Linked DNA regions of Mus musculus: regions 1, 2, 4 and 5 are each reported to be linked to region 3. Evidence: microRNA targets listed by miRTarBase, many of them from high-throughput screens and not tested one by one. Region 3 holds a microRNA gene; each other region holds the end of a gene's coding sequence.
Evidence for each region. The annotated mature microRNA mmu-miR-1199-5p reads UCUGAGUCCCGGUCGCGCGG and lies in region 3 at 1,697-1,716, opposite strand. An mRNA with a match to its seed (bases 2 to 7 or 8) in the 3' UTR can be bound and repressed. Matches are read on the target gene's strand: a 7mer-m8 pairs with bases 2 to 8, a 7mer-A1 pairs with bases 2 to 7 and ends in A, and an 8mer does both.

Region 1 (3,000 bases), not on the chromosome of region 3:
TATTCCCTGAGAGGATATGGACTGAGGATCAAGTCCAGGTCAGGAAAGTACAGCAGTGGCTTTCACTGGAGGCACCCTTTTAGGGCAGCGTAAGTGGGTCAACAACGCTTCCCGTCAGGACTTGACAGTATTTTCCACTCTCATTCCACGGATGACCTACCTAAGACCTGATTTGCCTCAGCTCGGTGAGCATGGCTGCAAGGCATTAAGAGAGGAGAAGCACGCCTTGTGTTTGATGTTCTTGGGCCATGGGTCTCCTCTGCATCCCCTCCTGAGGCTTCTTCCCAACAGCAAAGGCCCTCGCTCACCGGTCTCCCTTCCGTCTACAGGATCTCCGAGGCTGCCGGGAAGTCAAGGCAATCGGTGAAAGCCAAAGTAGCATTCTGCACCAGTGCCCCCCAGTACGGCATGCCAGGGAAGGGCAGGCACAGTGTAGCAGACTGATGCGCCCATGTGCCGCCCCAAAGAAAGCTCCAAGAAAGACTTGGCATTGCTTGTAGGATGCTGAACAAACCTCTCTCCAGCTCGAAGGTGAAGTTCAGCAGCCACTGCAGGTTTTTAAGGCTGTTTACTTCAGAATGCAATGGCAGTACCATGAATCTTCCACACCCCAATTGTGAATGCCCTTTGGGGTGATATGGTGCTCTTGGTTATCTTCTTTCACCAAGGAGACTCTCCTCTGTCATCTCTGCCGTGGCTGAAACACTCTTCCCAAGTTGGAGCTTCTTGACAGGAAAGGAGACTCACCTGGTGACAGGCAGGGCTCCTGCTCCATCCAGAGCCACATCTGGGGCAGCGAGACCCTGCACAAAGCCTCCCTCGTATGAAAGTAATAGTAACTGAGAAGAAACTACCAATAAAGAGATGCTTGTGCTAGCAGCAGTTTGTGTGTTTGAAATGAAGACTGGAGCTGGCAATGCTGCCCCGGGACAGAGCGCTTGCCTGGACTCCATGGAGCCTGCTATGGTTTAAATGCGAAATGTCTCTCATAGGCTCGTATATTTGAACACTTGGTTCCCATTGCTGAGAGGCCTTGAGGCAGGAGTCCAGTTGGATGAACTGTGTCACTGGAGGTGGGCTCTGAGGTTTCTTAGCCTTAGTCCCATTTTCTATGCACTCTCTGCTTCCTGATGGCAGACTCAGTGGGACTAGCTGGTGGTGCCTCTGCCACCTGCCTTCCTCACCATTGTGTGTGTGTGTGTGTGTGTGTGTGTGTGTGTGTGTGTGTGTGTGTGTGTGTAAATATGCACACACACACCCCTACCTGCCTTCCATCTAAAAGCCAAAATCAACCCTTTGCTTCTTATTGGCTGTTTGAGCAACCAGCATTATTTTTCTCATTGTAAGGATAAAAAGAATAGCATGGAAAACAGGCACTGGAATAGACCCACAGCCATGGTCCGGCTGACTGCAGGTCTCCGGTGTTTGGAATTGATCTGCAGGAATAATATGGAAGAGTGTAGAAGTATGGGCAGGGGAGCCCCTCAGAAGCTGAAAGCAGATCTCAGAAGACCATCCTAGGGGTGGGGGTGTCTAGATGACCAGGATGTTATGACAAATCCTGACACTAGAGGAGAATAAGGACTCTGTTAAGACCTGGGCTACATTGTCCTACATTACAACAAGGAATCTGTCTGCATTCTGCGCATGTGCCAAGACCTCATATACCTAAAGTATATGTACTTGAGACCTCATGGTCATGTAGTGGACTACTGTGTTTGATGGGTGAGCCTCTAAGACACAATTGCAGTCAGGTGTGGTGGAGTTGCTCACTGTTCTTATCCAGAGAGCTACAAGTGGAACAGAGGGATGGAGGGTGCAGCATCTGGTGGGGAAAGGAATGGGCCTAAAATTAGAGATAGGGTCGGTACAAAAGCAGCCTGGAAGTTAAAGTGATTAGCTGCCCCTTTAAAAAGAAATCTAGTGTTCTTTACTGGGACACTAGGAAAGCTGTCCTGAGGGCAGAACCCCACCCACTAAAGGCTCCAAATCTGGAAAAAGCAAATGTATTTGAAGGTTGTTAAGAGAGCCTGAACTGAGAATGTAGGGGGCCCTGCTTAGAAATGAATACCTGGAAATAGAGACCTGAGTGACTGTGGTCCAAGTGGGCCAGATTGTATTGCAAGGTGGCAGTGGGACATGACGACATTATTGTGCAAATATGCGAAACTCAAGTGGGGGAGGTGGGTCACAGAAGTTGGCACCAAGGCTCTGAAAGGCACTGAGGCCATTGTGTGCTGTAACAGTGACGCCTGAGCTGTGATGGAGACCTCAGGATGCTGGAGACACCAGGACCACACAGGAGGCGTCAGCTGAAGGACTCTGCAGCAGACTCATGCTGTCCTATAAGAGACCATGAGCTTCAGGCTGCAGAACTGTAGCAGCAGGTATACCCAAGCTCTTCAGAGCCCAAATGCTTCTACTGTGAGCCTCGGGTATGTAGAGCTGAAGGGTTTGGTATTTATTTGCCCTGCTGGGTTTTGATCTTACTTTAGTATGACCTTCCCTTGTTATGGAGTGGGAAAACTCTGTGCTGCTGATGTTGGAAGTATGATTTCCTCCTTGGACTGAATACATGTTGCATTATGAAATGGCCATGGGCCTCTGGAGACAGGGGCAAAACGCTGTGGTTTGATTGTGAAATGCCCCCTATACAGTTGTATGTTTGAATATTTTGTCCCAGGATAGGTTGGGCCTAGAGGAAGTGGATCAGTGGGGGGTGGGCCTTGAGGTTTCATCACCCCACCCCATATCCCGCCTACACTTTGCTTCCTGACTGTGTTTGCAGTGTGGCCAACCACCTCAGATTACGGCTGATCTGCCCTCACTGCCATGATGGGCTGTATCCCCTCGAACTGTAAGCCAGAACCAGCCCTTCTTCCTTGTTTCTTGTCAAGTATTTGATCACAACCATGAAAAAAAAAGTAACTAAGAGGTGACCCTCAGCTTGACCTCCAGAAGTGCCAACAAATGCTTGCACTCCGATGCATCACCGGATGA
Region 2 (3,000 bases), not on the chromosome of region 3:
TCTCTCTCTCTCTCTCTCTCTCTATCTATCTATCTATCTCATGCATGCACAAAATAAAAAGAAAACAAAAATTTAGCAAAATTGAGGTTTGATGCCACATATGTTTAATCCTAGCACTGAGGTGTCAGAAGTAGATGGATCACAGTGAGTCTGAGGCCAGCCTGGTCTACATGGGGAATTCCAGGCCAGCTACAGCTACATAGTAGGACCGTCCCTTTATGTAACTGGAAATGGTTTAGCACCTCAATCTGAATATAATTGGCGGGGACTCTAGGTAGAGTTCTCCAGTTGCCTTTGTTCAGGATTCCTAAGAAAACTCTTCTATTCTGTCTCTCCTCTATTACAGGTATCAGTCCCTCAACCTGACCCATGTTCCTGAACACAGTGCACCCATCTATGAGTTCCGGTGACAGAGGTTCAGAACAGTGGCCAAATAAAACTGAACTTGGCAACAAAGAGCTTTGCGAGGAAATTATGTACCTGCCAGAACCAGGAGAGGTGTGTTCCTGTTTGTTCACGAGCAGACTTCATCAGAAAGCATGAATGTTAACCTACAGGATCCAAGGAGCATGGCCAACCTGCAGGCAGGCAGAGGGAGCTGTTCACCTCCCACCCTCCTTCCTCTCAGTGGCATTGTGGTCACCATCTGTTTCTGAACAACCTTAAATGCACTTTCCTTCCTGCACAGCTAACTTCTGCATCACTGAAATGCCATCTTTCCTCGGCCTGCCTCTAGCCAAGTGGAAGGTCAGCTCCTGGGTCACCTTAGCCTTGGTGCTCAGTGGTCTCCACCCAGGCCCTACTCCTTCCTCAGTTGCTTGTTTGGTAGCCCAAGGAAAGGGAGAGCCCAGCATCTTGTGCCCCAGAGCTCTATGTGAGTTGCCTGGGCCCAGCATATACCACCAATGAGATGAGATGGGGTCCCTGGTGGGCCTCATTGACCTTTGATTCCAGTTGATGTCTTGTAGGGCCCTGTGTGTTAACAATGCAAGACTAGCACATGGCTGTCGGGTTTTCTGGGCCTGCTGTTGGGGATCACTAAATTTAAGGCTTCCAGATCCCTGGTAGGAGTAGATCCCAAACTGCTTTCTCAGTACATTTGCTCCAAACTTCTGAACTTGAGGGCAATACTAAATAAAAGAGTTTTTTATTACAAAATTATTATTTTTATGGTACCTTTAACAAGGACCCTATGGCAAATGCACAATTATTCCGAATTACATTTATCGTTTTCACATTGAAAACAGCAAATGTTGACGTAGTGACTTTTATATCTATGTCTATATGTATATTTAATCAACCAGCAGTTTTGAAACAGGTCATCCTGGTACAGAAGTTTTGCAGCATTGCTTAAATCACAGTGCTAAACACAGGAACTGTTTCCGGGCCGGCTGAGCATTTGCGCCTCCTCCTTTTGCTACTCAAAACATCAGTGTGTCATGACAACCTTTTCCAAAGGCAGAGGGGGCCCCCATTCTCCGGAAAGGATGACTGAAATGTTGTCATGGCGTGGGCAGGAAGAAATGCACTCAAATAACTCGAGGCTCATGTGCCAAAGTGTGAGAGAGGGGAGTGGTTTGGTTTGGTTTGGTTTGGTTTTTCTAAATGTTTAAAAAGCTTAATAGATTGGCATCAGTTGTAGTCCACAATATTGTCAGGACTTTGGGGAATTCTGGTGGTTTACAGGTCCAAACACAAGGGGAAAAGCTTTAAAATAAATACAGCATCAGGGCTGGGAGTGCAGCTGACCAAGCACTAGCTTGTCACATATGAGGAAGGACCTGGCTTCCATTTCCAGTGCTGGAAAAAGGGAACACCAAGGGGTAGCAGGTTGGCTGCTGTTGTATTGTGCTGTGTGTTACTAATACTGAATATCTGGGAACCTTAAGAGAGCAGAAGTGGGGAAAGAAACCAGCAGGTACTTGGCAATATCCATAGCCCCAAAACTTACCCAGTCAGTAAAGCTGGGGCTCAGAAACCATAACAATACATCATCCCAAGACTTAGGTAGAAGAAAAGAATCCACATCCATCGCTAGGGCTGAATCAGTGGTTCCTTACCCTTGAGAAGCAGCCTGGGTACGGCAGTGCACCTCGAGGCCCAGCTGCTCAGAAGCCTGAGCCCAGGAGAAAGGGTCAGTCTAAGGTGAACCTAAACTTCATCTGACATCAAAACTCAACTGAATATGAGATGGCCGGCTCTGGTCAGAAGCACCTGGCTTACACCACAGGCCACCATCGCTTCACTTAAGCTGAGGGGCAGCACTGGAGAGTGAAGGAGGCAGAAAGACTGACTGCTGGCTTTTCCCTGCAGCACCTGCTCCTCTGGCTTTCCACCATGCTATTGAACCATTGTGTGCTGGGCAGGTATCATTCAGCAGTGGATGGAGTCACCCTGAAGCTAGGGCTCGTGTGTAGCTCTAGTAGCACGTCAGTGAACAGCCTCTCCTCTAAACTGGGCAGGCCAGGTCGGAGCATAGGGGTTCCCCCTACACCCCCCTTTTGTTCCTTTGATCTCTTTGTCTTCAGGGTCTCACTTTGTAACTCTAGCTGGCCTGGAGCTCACTTTGTAGATCAGGCTGACCTTGAACTCACTGAGATCCACCTGACTACTCAGAGCGAGTACTAGGACTAAAGGTGTGAGCCACCACACCCTGCTTTTTTTTTTTTTTTTTTTCTTAGCTAGGGAAGTGTTCCAGCTCTACTTAGAAAGATGAGGGAAGGATGCCTTTAGCAGACAGACTTCAGACCTACCTGAAGACTTGCTGCTTAGAAGTCTGCCCCTGAACACTGGGCAGGAATAAACATGTTCCACTTCTTAGTAACTCCTAGCTGGTGGACAGTGACTTCTTTTCCTTTTCTGTCCCTGGAGGACCTCTGGGACTTGTCTCCATTGGTAGCTCTTTAACCAGCTGCTCAGTGGCTTGCATGCCTCTGGTCCTGTGTGCAATATCTTTGCCTGGCACTTGTATCTAACATTGAAAAATAGGTGCAGACTGCA
Region 3 (3,149 bases):
CAGGAAATACAACTTCATAGCACCTCGGTCTAGCAGCTCCCTGAACACAGAATGGTTTTGGTGCCTATAAAAACTGACATCTGGATACCAGAGTGGAGTCTGTGGGCCGGTGAGCAACATTTTGCGTTCTCACCACCAGGGGGCAGTAGGGCCCTGGCCTCCAAGCCCGGGTCCGCAGTCAGTCCAGAACAAGGAGACCAGAGCGCGTTTTGAATTCCAACATTCCGGCGGGATCCTTGGGTGGCTTTTCCAAACGTTCTTCACCTGCCAGCCTCCGCCCACCCAGACTAAGGAGGACCCAGTAGAAAATAGCTTGCACTGAAGCCCAGGTAAAGGGAGGAGGAGTTTATTTTATGTTTCACTCATAGGTTTTGCAGGGTTTCCAAGGAAGACTAGAGAATTTTATGGAGAAAGGTGGTTAATTCCATAGTCAGTATCAAAGATGGGCTGGATTTCAAGTTGCCATTAAAGAAAGCTAGCCCTTCCCTCTCTAGGCCTTCTGCTGATCTGGAGAGTAACCCTACCCTGGTTCTCCAAAGGGTATGTTACTTCTGTCCGCAGGTCCCAACCTTCATAGACCTCAGGGTCTGCGCTCCTAGAAGGAAAAGGGGAAGAGAAAGAACACCCTCAGGGAGAAGTTTGGCCTCTAGGCCTCCACCTCCTCTTCACTCTCTGGATCGCGTCTAGGACTTTTGAGTTTGGGTTAGAGTGGCGCTCCAGGGGACCAAGAGGCACCTTCTCCCTCCACCCCAGTGCCCAGGTGCTGCAGGGAGGGCTGGGAGACCGACAAGCATCGGAAAGGGAGTCTCCCACCTTCTCAGAGGCCCGTCTCCGCGGAGGCCAGATCACCGACAATTTTCCATCTCCCCTGCTCGCTGTGGGGGAAGGAACACTCAGCCGCGACTGCCCCTCCTCTTGCCAGCTGGAGGATGGCCGCACCCCTTATATACATACAGGTGTGCACCCCTCTTCCCCATGAAGGCCTCCACCCAGTTCTGAGGACCCAGGAACAGGAATGAGGCAAACTCAATGTAGAGAGGCACCCGAGTACTACAGAGGACCCGAGAACGCCAGAAGTCAAGGTTCCAAGGTCTGATGGATGTGGGGATCCTCACTCCAGGAGTGGGAGTGAAGAAAAGAAGGTGAACCCCCAGGAGAATAGTTAAGGGTCTGCAAGCCTACAGATGAATGATCACTGGAGGTGGAGACAGCTGGAGCTCTAGGGCCCAGGGGGACCGCTTACGGGTGAGGCTCGGCGCTGGCTCCTGGACCTCGGCGTCGCCGTAGATGCTGCGCCGCTGCAACTGCAGCTCCCGCTCGCGCTCGCGCACTCGTCGCACCTCCTGCTCCAGCAGTGACGGGGCAACGAGCGGTGGCAACTGCCCCAGTACCGGACAGCCGTCCTGAACGGCGGGGTGCAGCCGGCCTCCGGTCTCTGGCTGCCTCTGCAAGCCAGCGCCGTCCTCCGCCGCAGCCTCAAAGAAGCGCTTGAGTTCGTCCAGCGGCTGCGGCCGCCGCCGGGCGCTAGGCTCCGGAACCGCGGGGCTCGCCAGCGCCGCCTGCCTGTGAGCCTCGCGTTCGATGTCCCGTTGCATCTTCGCGCCCGCCCGAGCGCGCTCCAGGGCGCGCGGCAGCGGAGTACCGGAGCCGGGCCGACTGAGCACCGGCCGCACGCGCAACTCAATGAGTTCCTCGCCCGCGCGACCGGGACTCAGACCCCGGCTCCGGCGCAGGCTTTCCTCCCGCTCGCAGCTGCGGCGGATTTCGCGCTGGATGGGCGTCTCCATCTGCAATTCCGCCGGCGCCGGTTTGGATGCCGCGGGCTTCGGTAGAAAACACACCTGGAGGCCTCTGAGCCGAGACAGGGGCACAACTGCCCCAGTACCTCCGTTATACTAGTGCCAGGCGGCCCAGCTGTGGACCGCCCGGGCGCTCGGTCCGGTGCTCAACTGGCACCTGCGGGACCTGGCTCTCTGGCTCCAGAGTCTGCAAGTGCTCCTCTCCAGAGGTTTCCAGGACCTCACTGCCTCCCCCAGCAGCCCTCGGTGCCCTGGCTCTGCGGCTCCCGGAACACGTAGCCTTCAGGCGACCCCAGGACTCCACTCTCGGACACCCGAGGACATGGATGTTTGGAGTTAGGCGCCCTTTGAAAATTTTAGTTCTCAGAGCCGAATTGAGATGCCCAAATAGGTAGGACACGGTGCCCTGTGCAGTACCTGTAGTTACAGCCGCCGCCCGAGGTTCATAGGCGTCGCCAGCACTCTTCTTTGACCCGCCTCTGGCCTCCAGGAACATCCCCTGGGGGCAGGACTGGGCACCGCCCCCGTCACCTGCCAGCTGGATTCGAGTGGCCCTGGACCCGCCCTATGGGCCAGGGCGCCTCCACTGCTCTCCGGATTCCCGCCACCTGAACACACGGGTTGACTGAAGGGGTGGCTTCTTCGGAAAGGGCTTCCCTGAACTCACTACCCAGGGGGTATGTGTCGCCCTTTCCCTCTGGTACCACGCTGGCATTCTGGGGTCTTTTTTTTTTTTTTTTTTTTTTTTCATCACTTTCCGGAGACCTGACCTCTAGCGGAGCGCCGCGCTGATCGCTGAACCACGGCCTCCTTACAGAGTGTTTCCCCGGTCGTCTTTCGCTGACCTCACTAGTCTAGGTCAGCAAGTGCCAGCCTGCGGCCAGCGACACCACTCTCCTTCCCCCCGCCCCCTATCCCGTGATCTCCGGGCCTTCTCTGCACACTGATCGCTGAGGCAACACAGCTCGAGTCCAGCCCGAGGGTCGCCCGGGGCCGCCGCACTGGGTGCTGCTGCTACCCGGGGCTGCTCAGCTCTGTCTGGTTTGCAGCGGCGCTGCCGCCACTCAAAACCCTGGGGCAGATTCCCCACCCCCACCTTCCAGAAAAGCCCGCAAGGCATTGGCAGCCAAGTGTCCAGCTAGAATGAGCGGTGTTTGAGGGCACAGACATTACAGGACTTCCGGGCCTCAGCCGAGCAATTGTGGCTGGAAGGCGGTCAGCTTGGACCAGTTTGCCCAGGAGGCCCAAGATGGGGCAGAGGAGCCACCGGGTTAGCGGGAGGCAGTAGCGACCTTTGTCTGGTGCCCGATCTGTGTTTCGGGACAGGGTCGATGACCCAGAGTGAGGGCT
Region 4 (3,000 bases), not on the chromosome of region 3:
CCACCAGGTGTCCTGGCTAGAATCTGAACACTATCTATGACCTTTCTCTCCCATCTTTAATCAATTATTAGTCTAGATTCCTCCCTTTCTGTGCCATTTGCTCTCCAGTTCTGATTGTGTAAGTGTCCTAACCATTCCTTTGGATCACAGTCTTTTTCCTTTTTGACCAATTTCCTCACCATTCCCAGAAATTATCTTCCTAAAAGGCAAATTATACTATTTGCTTGCTCAAAGCTATTGCCTGTTTCCTTCCCCTCTTAACGCGGTATATCTTGCAACTGACCTTATGACTTTGTTGCTACTGGACTTCTCATCTGTACCAGTTGGCAAAGCTGTTCAGCCATGCTCCAGCTACACCATCTGTCTCTATCATAGGTTAGGACACGTATCTTTGGAAAAACCCTTGAGCAAAGTCAGGTGAGTTTCACCTGGAAGAACCACCCTTTTCCGGTCCTACATTTTGTAAATTTCCATTTCCCTGATTGTACTCAAACTTCAGCCCTCACCATTTCTACTCACCCATTATGCCATGGAAAAGCTCATTCACTTATGTACAAACTGGGGCGGGGTTTAGTCCACACTAGACTCCGTTTTGTTTGCAGCAGTAGGTTTTCCATTAGAATCTGTCCTTACGTTTTACTTACGGTCTGGCTTGGTCTATCTTCCATGATGCATACAGTAATATCCATGCTTACTTCCTGGTGCATGTGATTCTTGAGATTCATGTGGAATATAAGGCACGTTGGCAAATGGAAAGCCAAGTTTGAATATGTCATTATTGAAGGAAAACATGGCTTTCAGATAAACACATTTTTGTGACATATTTTAAACCAAAAATTTTTAACAAGAAAAAAAAATTAAATCCTCAGTTGAATCATTTTTGAAACTCCTTTTCATAATCTCAATCTCTGTCTCTCCATCTCTCTGTCTCTCCATCTCTCTGTCTCTCCATCTGTCTCTCTGTCTCTCTGTCTGTCTCTGTCTCTCTGTCTCTCTGTCTCTGTCTCTCTCTCTATCTGTCTCTGTCTCTGCCTCTCTCTCTATCTGTCTCTGTCTCTGCCTCTCTCTCTCTCTCTCTCTCTCTCTCTCTCTCTCTCTCTCAACAGGGTTTCGCTGAGTAACCCTAGCTGTCATGGAACTCGCTCTGTACATCAGGCTGGCTTCAAACTCACAGAGATCCACCTGCCTCTGCCTGCTAAGTGCTGGGATCAAATGTGTGTGCCACCACTGCCTGGCATCTGATCCTATAATCCCAATCTCCTACTTTCTGGCTTTTTGCTTAAAAATTGTTTTCCAAGCTGTTATAATTTGCATAAAAATGTCCCCACTCCAAGATTTGTAGGGTTCCCAATTACATTTCCATAAGTAAGGTTTTAGAGAAGCAATTGGCTCTTAAGTTCTCAGACCTTTATCAGTGGGGTGATCTATTTATGAAAGGACAGTTAATGGGTTATCGGAACACAGTGGAACTTAAAAGGTGGACCTGACTGGAGGAAGTGGGTCACTGAAAGGTATATGTTGCTCCTGCCTGTCACTCTCTATGCTTCTGGGCCTTCTTGAAGTAAGTTATCTCATGTCACATATTCCTTCTGCCATGAAAATCTGCTTCACTACAGGCAAAGAAGCTAGTAGACCATGCTCTGAAACCTCCAAAAACATGGACCAAAATAAAACCTTCTCCTTTAGGTTGATGGTACTCAGTCACGTTGTCACCTCCAAGAACAGCAACTGATACATAACCTTTAATTTATTGCCATCTATAAAAATACTTATTACTAAAATTAGTTTCATCATACAAGAAAAAAATGTAAGAAAATTTATTACATCATTTCTAATGTCTGTATTTATATTTTAAACATGACTTAATTCAGAAGTCAGAAACTGCTTGTTTATTCCTTAGCTATGGTCGAGTCTTTAACAATTGTTTCTTTTACAGTTATACAGAGTTGTATAATTTAGCCTTAATTCATTAAAGCCCACCAAAAAAAACTTGTATTAAGACAAATAAGATAAAATATAGCAGATATAGTCAATAGATTGACTGATATCAATTCATTTAGAATAAGTACAAAGCACATTCCAAAAGTAAGGTGTAGCTCAATAATTGCATACATAATCAAGTGATTTTTCCTTGCAAGTGTCCTGAGGGCATGCATTTCATTATTCATTAGTTTGCTTTACTGAAGTAACATACCCATCATATTTAAATAGGAATAGGTAATATAATCAAATCGGGGCAGTTGTGGGGGATAAATTTCTTCCTGATGCAAAGAGGTTAACACTAAGCAGTCAACTGCTGCACAGGACTAATGTGGCACATGTGGGCAAGTATAATGTGTATTAATCCAAAATATGAGCTATTATTATAAAAATAGAAGTAGAAAACCCTAGCTAAATTAAAATCCAGAAAATTTTAAGCACTATTTTAATAACTACATATAAAGTAACATAAACCCAAGACACTGAGCAGATCAAAGAGTATCAAATCCCATAGACAACAGACTGCTGTGCCTGAATTAGTGTTCTTGTACTATACATTAGTGCACACCCTACTTACAAGAGTTCTTGTTTATTATTGACATTAGGAAAATGACATTTCTTTAGATATTACATTTAGTACATCAAATTAGGACAATAAGTAAGGATTCAGTCAGCTATAATATTCTTAAGGACCACTTGCAACTTCCTTTGCCGGTTTCACAGACAGACCTGTAGAGGAATAAAAAATAAAAATAAAATGCATTCAACAGTGCATGGATAGAACTGCATATCCAAAGGAGAGATTGAAACTTTAGTGCTCTCTTCTACTCTGAATGTATTTCTGCCATGGCAATGATCTTGCTGTGCACTTATCTTACCTTCATTAGCCAGATTAGGCCCGTGTTTTTAATAGTACATAAATGTTGGTATCTAAATAAAATCCTAATCAGAATGTTATTTTATATTTTTTTGCTTTGTGTCATAATTATATCTAATATGTCTGGTTTACCAATTAAGCAA
Region 5 (3,000 bases), not on the chromosome of region 3:
ATTTTAAGTATATTGTAGTTTAATTTTTCTCTCTAAAGCTATATTCATGGAAAAACCAGATGAAAGCAATTGTTAACAATTCCGCTCACTTGTGGGTGCATTCATGCACATATGTCCTGTGCCCTGCTAGTGAGCCACACCCTTACAGTCTTACCTAAAAATTTCCTCTTTTTCTCTCTGTCAGTCTTATCCCCGTCCTCTTACAACTAATATACTTCCTGAAAATTATTTACTTTGTCTTCTGGGGTTGAGAATTGAACCCAAAGCCTTATGTGTGCTAAGTAGATAACTAAACCCGAGGCTGCTATGTTTTTAATTTCTGTTTTGGCATTTGGCTATTTTGCTGGAGCATGTCTTGCTAAAACCTTACAAATGTCTGATGACTAAGTATTGTTGAGAGAGAGAGAGAGAGAGTGAGAGAGAGAGAGAGAGAGAGAAGAAACAAGCAAAAAAGCACGGCCAATTCTTATTACTTCTTTACAACCCAAAACCAGACTGCAGCTGTTCTTGTTTTGATTTTGACTGGAAGCATCAATGCTGACAAGTACTTTTCCACGAGACTTTACAAAGTGGTCAGTTTGGTGGGCTGTTGCAGCAACTTTTTTAGTGACCAATCACTGTACAAAAGAAGGCTGAGACCACAGGCAGTCAGTCGCTTGAATGCCAGTTTGGATTATCTAACTCAGGGATCCACAAAAGCAAGATGGTGGCAAGGATCATGACACAACGTTCATCTGCACCAACACCTTTCAACCTGAAGCCGTGCCTCTATTGTTCTGGCTCACACCGTCCTCTGCATTCCCTTCAGAGTGACTGACTCAAGACTGTCATTGATCCAAACATTCTCAAAGAACGTGTTGCCTCTTTGGAAACAGCAGAGCAAGACGGCAAACTTTGCACAGACCTTTCTGTTTGCTTGCTACTGTTTAACATGGAAGAAAAGCCAAAGGGAAGGGGGATGCCTGGAAACAGATTCCAGCGGAGAAGACAAAGACCCAGGAGCTTTCTAAGTTGGTTAGCCATGATGAAAATGGGTACCTCATACCCACCAAGCTCATCTTGATTTACATCCCCATTGCTTTGCTTGTTCATAAGTGCAAATGGTAAATAAAATCAAGTTGTCGAGTCAACGTTTAGGTCATGACAAGTTTCCCTTGTAAAGGAAGTCATTTCCTACCATCTTGACTTTAAGGCTACAAAAATCCTTGATGATCCCAGCAGACAGATCAAATGGCACACAGTGCTTAGTATTAGTGGATGCGGAACAGGTTCTCAGCATACTGAGAGTAATGTGTGATGTGTAATATCTGTCTGATGTGTAACAGGTTTGTTGCCACCTGACTCTCTGACTTGCAAAATAGGAAGTATTTCACAATGCTTCATATCCTTGCGTGCCATGAGCTTCCTGCTCTAGGCTACAAGCAGCCCCCTCTTCTCTCCCAGCGGCGGCACACTGGCTTGCTGGTATTTACTGCCTTGCTCTAACAAGGCTGATGGTAATTTAATTTCTCCGGCTTTTAGCTTGAGATGGTGCTACCCTGCTCCGTCTGTTTTCTTGTAGAGTTCTGACATCCCAAGGATGCGGTGTGAACTGTCTCCCCACCCACCTCTCTGCTCTCTCTGTTGTGATGGTGGAAAGCATCCTGGGGACTCAGAAAAGGAACCAGCCACAAACCTCCAGGCCATTTAGATCTTTTGTCTGTTGAACCTTAATGAATGAAATAGCCACCATACAATCAACATTAACTTCAATAATCTTTTTTTTTATTACCTAAAAATGACAAGCCAAATCAGTTCAATACTGACCATGGCAGAAAACACAAATATCTCACTAAAATAAATACTAACACAGTGGAGATGAGTGAGGCACTTGCCTTGGGCACAACATTTAGGGAGGCATTTTAAAAAAATCCCTCAGCAATCAAGATAAATGATATTTTATCCCAGTAGGTTAAAAAAAAAAAAACAAAACCCCAAAATCAAAAAACAAATTTTAACTCAAGAATCGTCCACAGTGCTTTGCAGAGCCATCTTGGAACTTAGATGAAAGAGAAGATAAGATGAATCCTGTTTTGTCCAGAAATATGATTTTTCTGTGGTTCTCACTAGCTTTATCCTGGCCCCAAGCCTGCTCGAATGTTCCCAGCAGGCAATGTCATAGCCCTCCCCACCTCAATAGTAATTCAGGGGACAAAACATTGGCAGTTATTGTCAAGTTTAATTGCCACCTCTAGTTGACTGACTAACAGCCATAATTGAGGCCCTGCTTTGGTTGTCCTTTCAGTTAAAAGGTGTTTCCCAAGCCCAGAACTAGTCTTTTTTTGGTCCCTATAACCTCAAGATACCTTATTACCAAAAATCCATTGCACAAAGCACTACTAACCCGCTTGGAAAAGCGCATCTGACCCAATCCCTCAAAAATTCCGCCGCCCACGGTAGTTGCCACGGGTTCTCTCCTTGCTAGTCTTGGCCGAAAGTTGCCTGTGTGTCTTCTTCCGATATTCCACTTTAGTCCAGCCCCCTTCGCTCACCCTGCTCTCCTCTTCCCCTGCTTTGGAGGCAGTCTCAGGGTGCAGAGGCATCCCGGGTATGGTCCTGGGCACACGGCGGTCATGGTCATTTGGGCTCCTCTTGAAGTCAGGGGACTGATGAGTGTTCAGCGCTGACTGGGGCAGCCTGTAGAACTTTCCAGAATATCTTTCTCTTGAAGGTGTGGAATGCTGACTTTTCCCACCATATCTTCCTTTCGGGGAAGAATTGAGGGACACACTACCACGGTAGTACTTGTTTCTGCTTCGGTCTGAGTAGCGGCCCCTCTCGGAGGAGCTGTCATTGAGGCTGGAGAAGCCGCTGTCCCTGGAGCTGAGGTTCAGGGAGGAGAAGTTTCTGGACAGCCCATACTGCGTGGGGGAGGAGCTCCGGGAAGGGTTGATGCTTGGTGTAATCTGCTGGTACTTCACCGGAGTCTGGGTCCTCCTCACCGCAGCAGCATAGGAATCC

Region 1: miRTarBase lists Ttc23 as a target of mmu-miR-1199-5p. The part of its 3' UTR that is shown has no 7-base or 8-base seed match.
Region 2: miRTarBase lists Gid4 as a target of mmu-miR-1199-5p. Seed matches in the 3' UTR shown: 7mer-A1 at 2,611-2,617.
Region 4: miRTarBase lists A830018L16Rik as a target of mmu-miR-1199-5p. The part of its 3' UTR that is shown has no 7-base or 8-base seed match.
Region 5: miRTarBase lists Map3k20 as a target of mmu-miR-1199-5p. The part of its 3' UTR that is shown has no 7-base or 8-base seed match.

What each region holds. Positions count from the first base shown.
Region 1 is chr7:67,725,699-67,728,698 of GRCm38, forward strand. It overlaps Ttc23 (tetratricopeptide repeat domain 23), which reads left to right. Exons shown (of 11, transcript NM_001168475.1): 11 at 330-878. The coding sequence ends at 444. Among named protein-coding and RNA genes, the nearest start is that of Gm34140, 9.9 kb to the left of the region's middle.
Region 2 is chr11:60,441,633-60,444,632 of GRCm38, forward strand. Gid4 (GID complex subunit 4, VID24 homolog) reads left to right here. Exons shown (of 6, transcript NM_025757.4): 6 at 347-3,000. The coding sequence ends at 410. Among named protein-coding and RNA genes, the nearest start is that of Drg2, 11 kb to the right of the region's middle.
Region 3 is chr8:84,009,898-84,013,046 of GRCm38, forward strand. Mir1199 (microRNA 1199) reads right to left here and starts at 1,736; the gene lies at 1,618-1,736. Misp3 (MISP family member 3) reads right to left here and starts at 1,823. Exons shown (of 3, transcript NM_001291292.1): 1 at 1,244-1,823; 2 at 814-875; 3 at 331-595. The coding sequence starts at 1,787. The coding sequence ends at 581.
Region 4 is chr1:11,974,632-11,977,631 of GRCm38, reverse strand. It overlaps A830018L16Rik (RIKEN cDNA A830018L16 gene), which reads right to left. Exons shown (of 14, transcript NM_001160369.2): 14 at 1,730-2,709. The coding sequence ends at 2,666. Among named protein-coding and RNA genes, the nearest start is that of Gm30898, 2.2 kb to the left of the region's middle.
Region 5 is chr2:72,441,353-72,444,352 of GRCm38, reverse strand. It overlaps Map3k20 (mitogen-activated protein kinase kinase kinase 20), which reads right to left. Exons shown (of 20, transcript NM_023057.5): 20 at 1,743-3,000. The coding sequence ends at 2,415. Among named protein-coding and RNA genes, the nearest start is that of Gm39847, 22 kb to the left of the region's middle.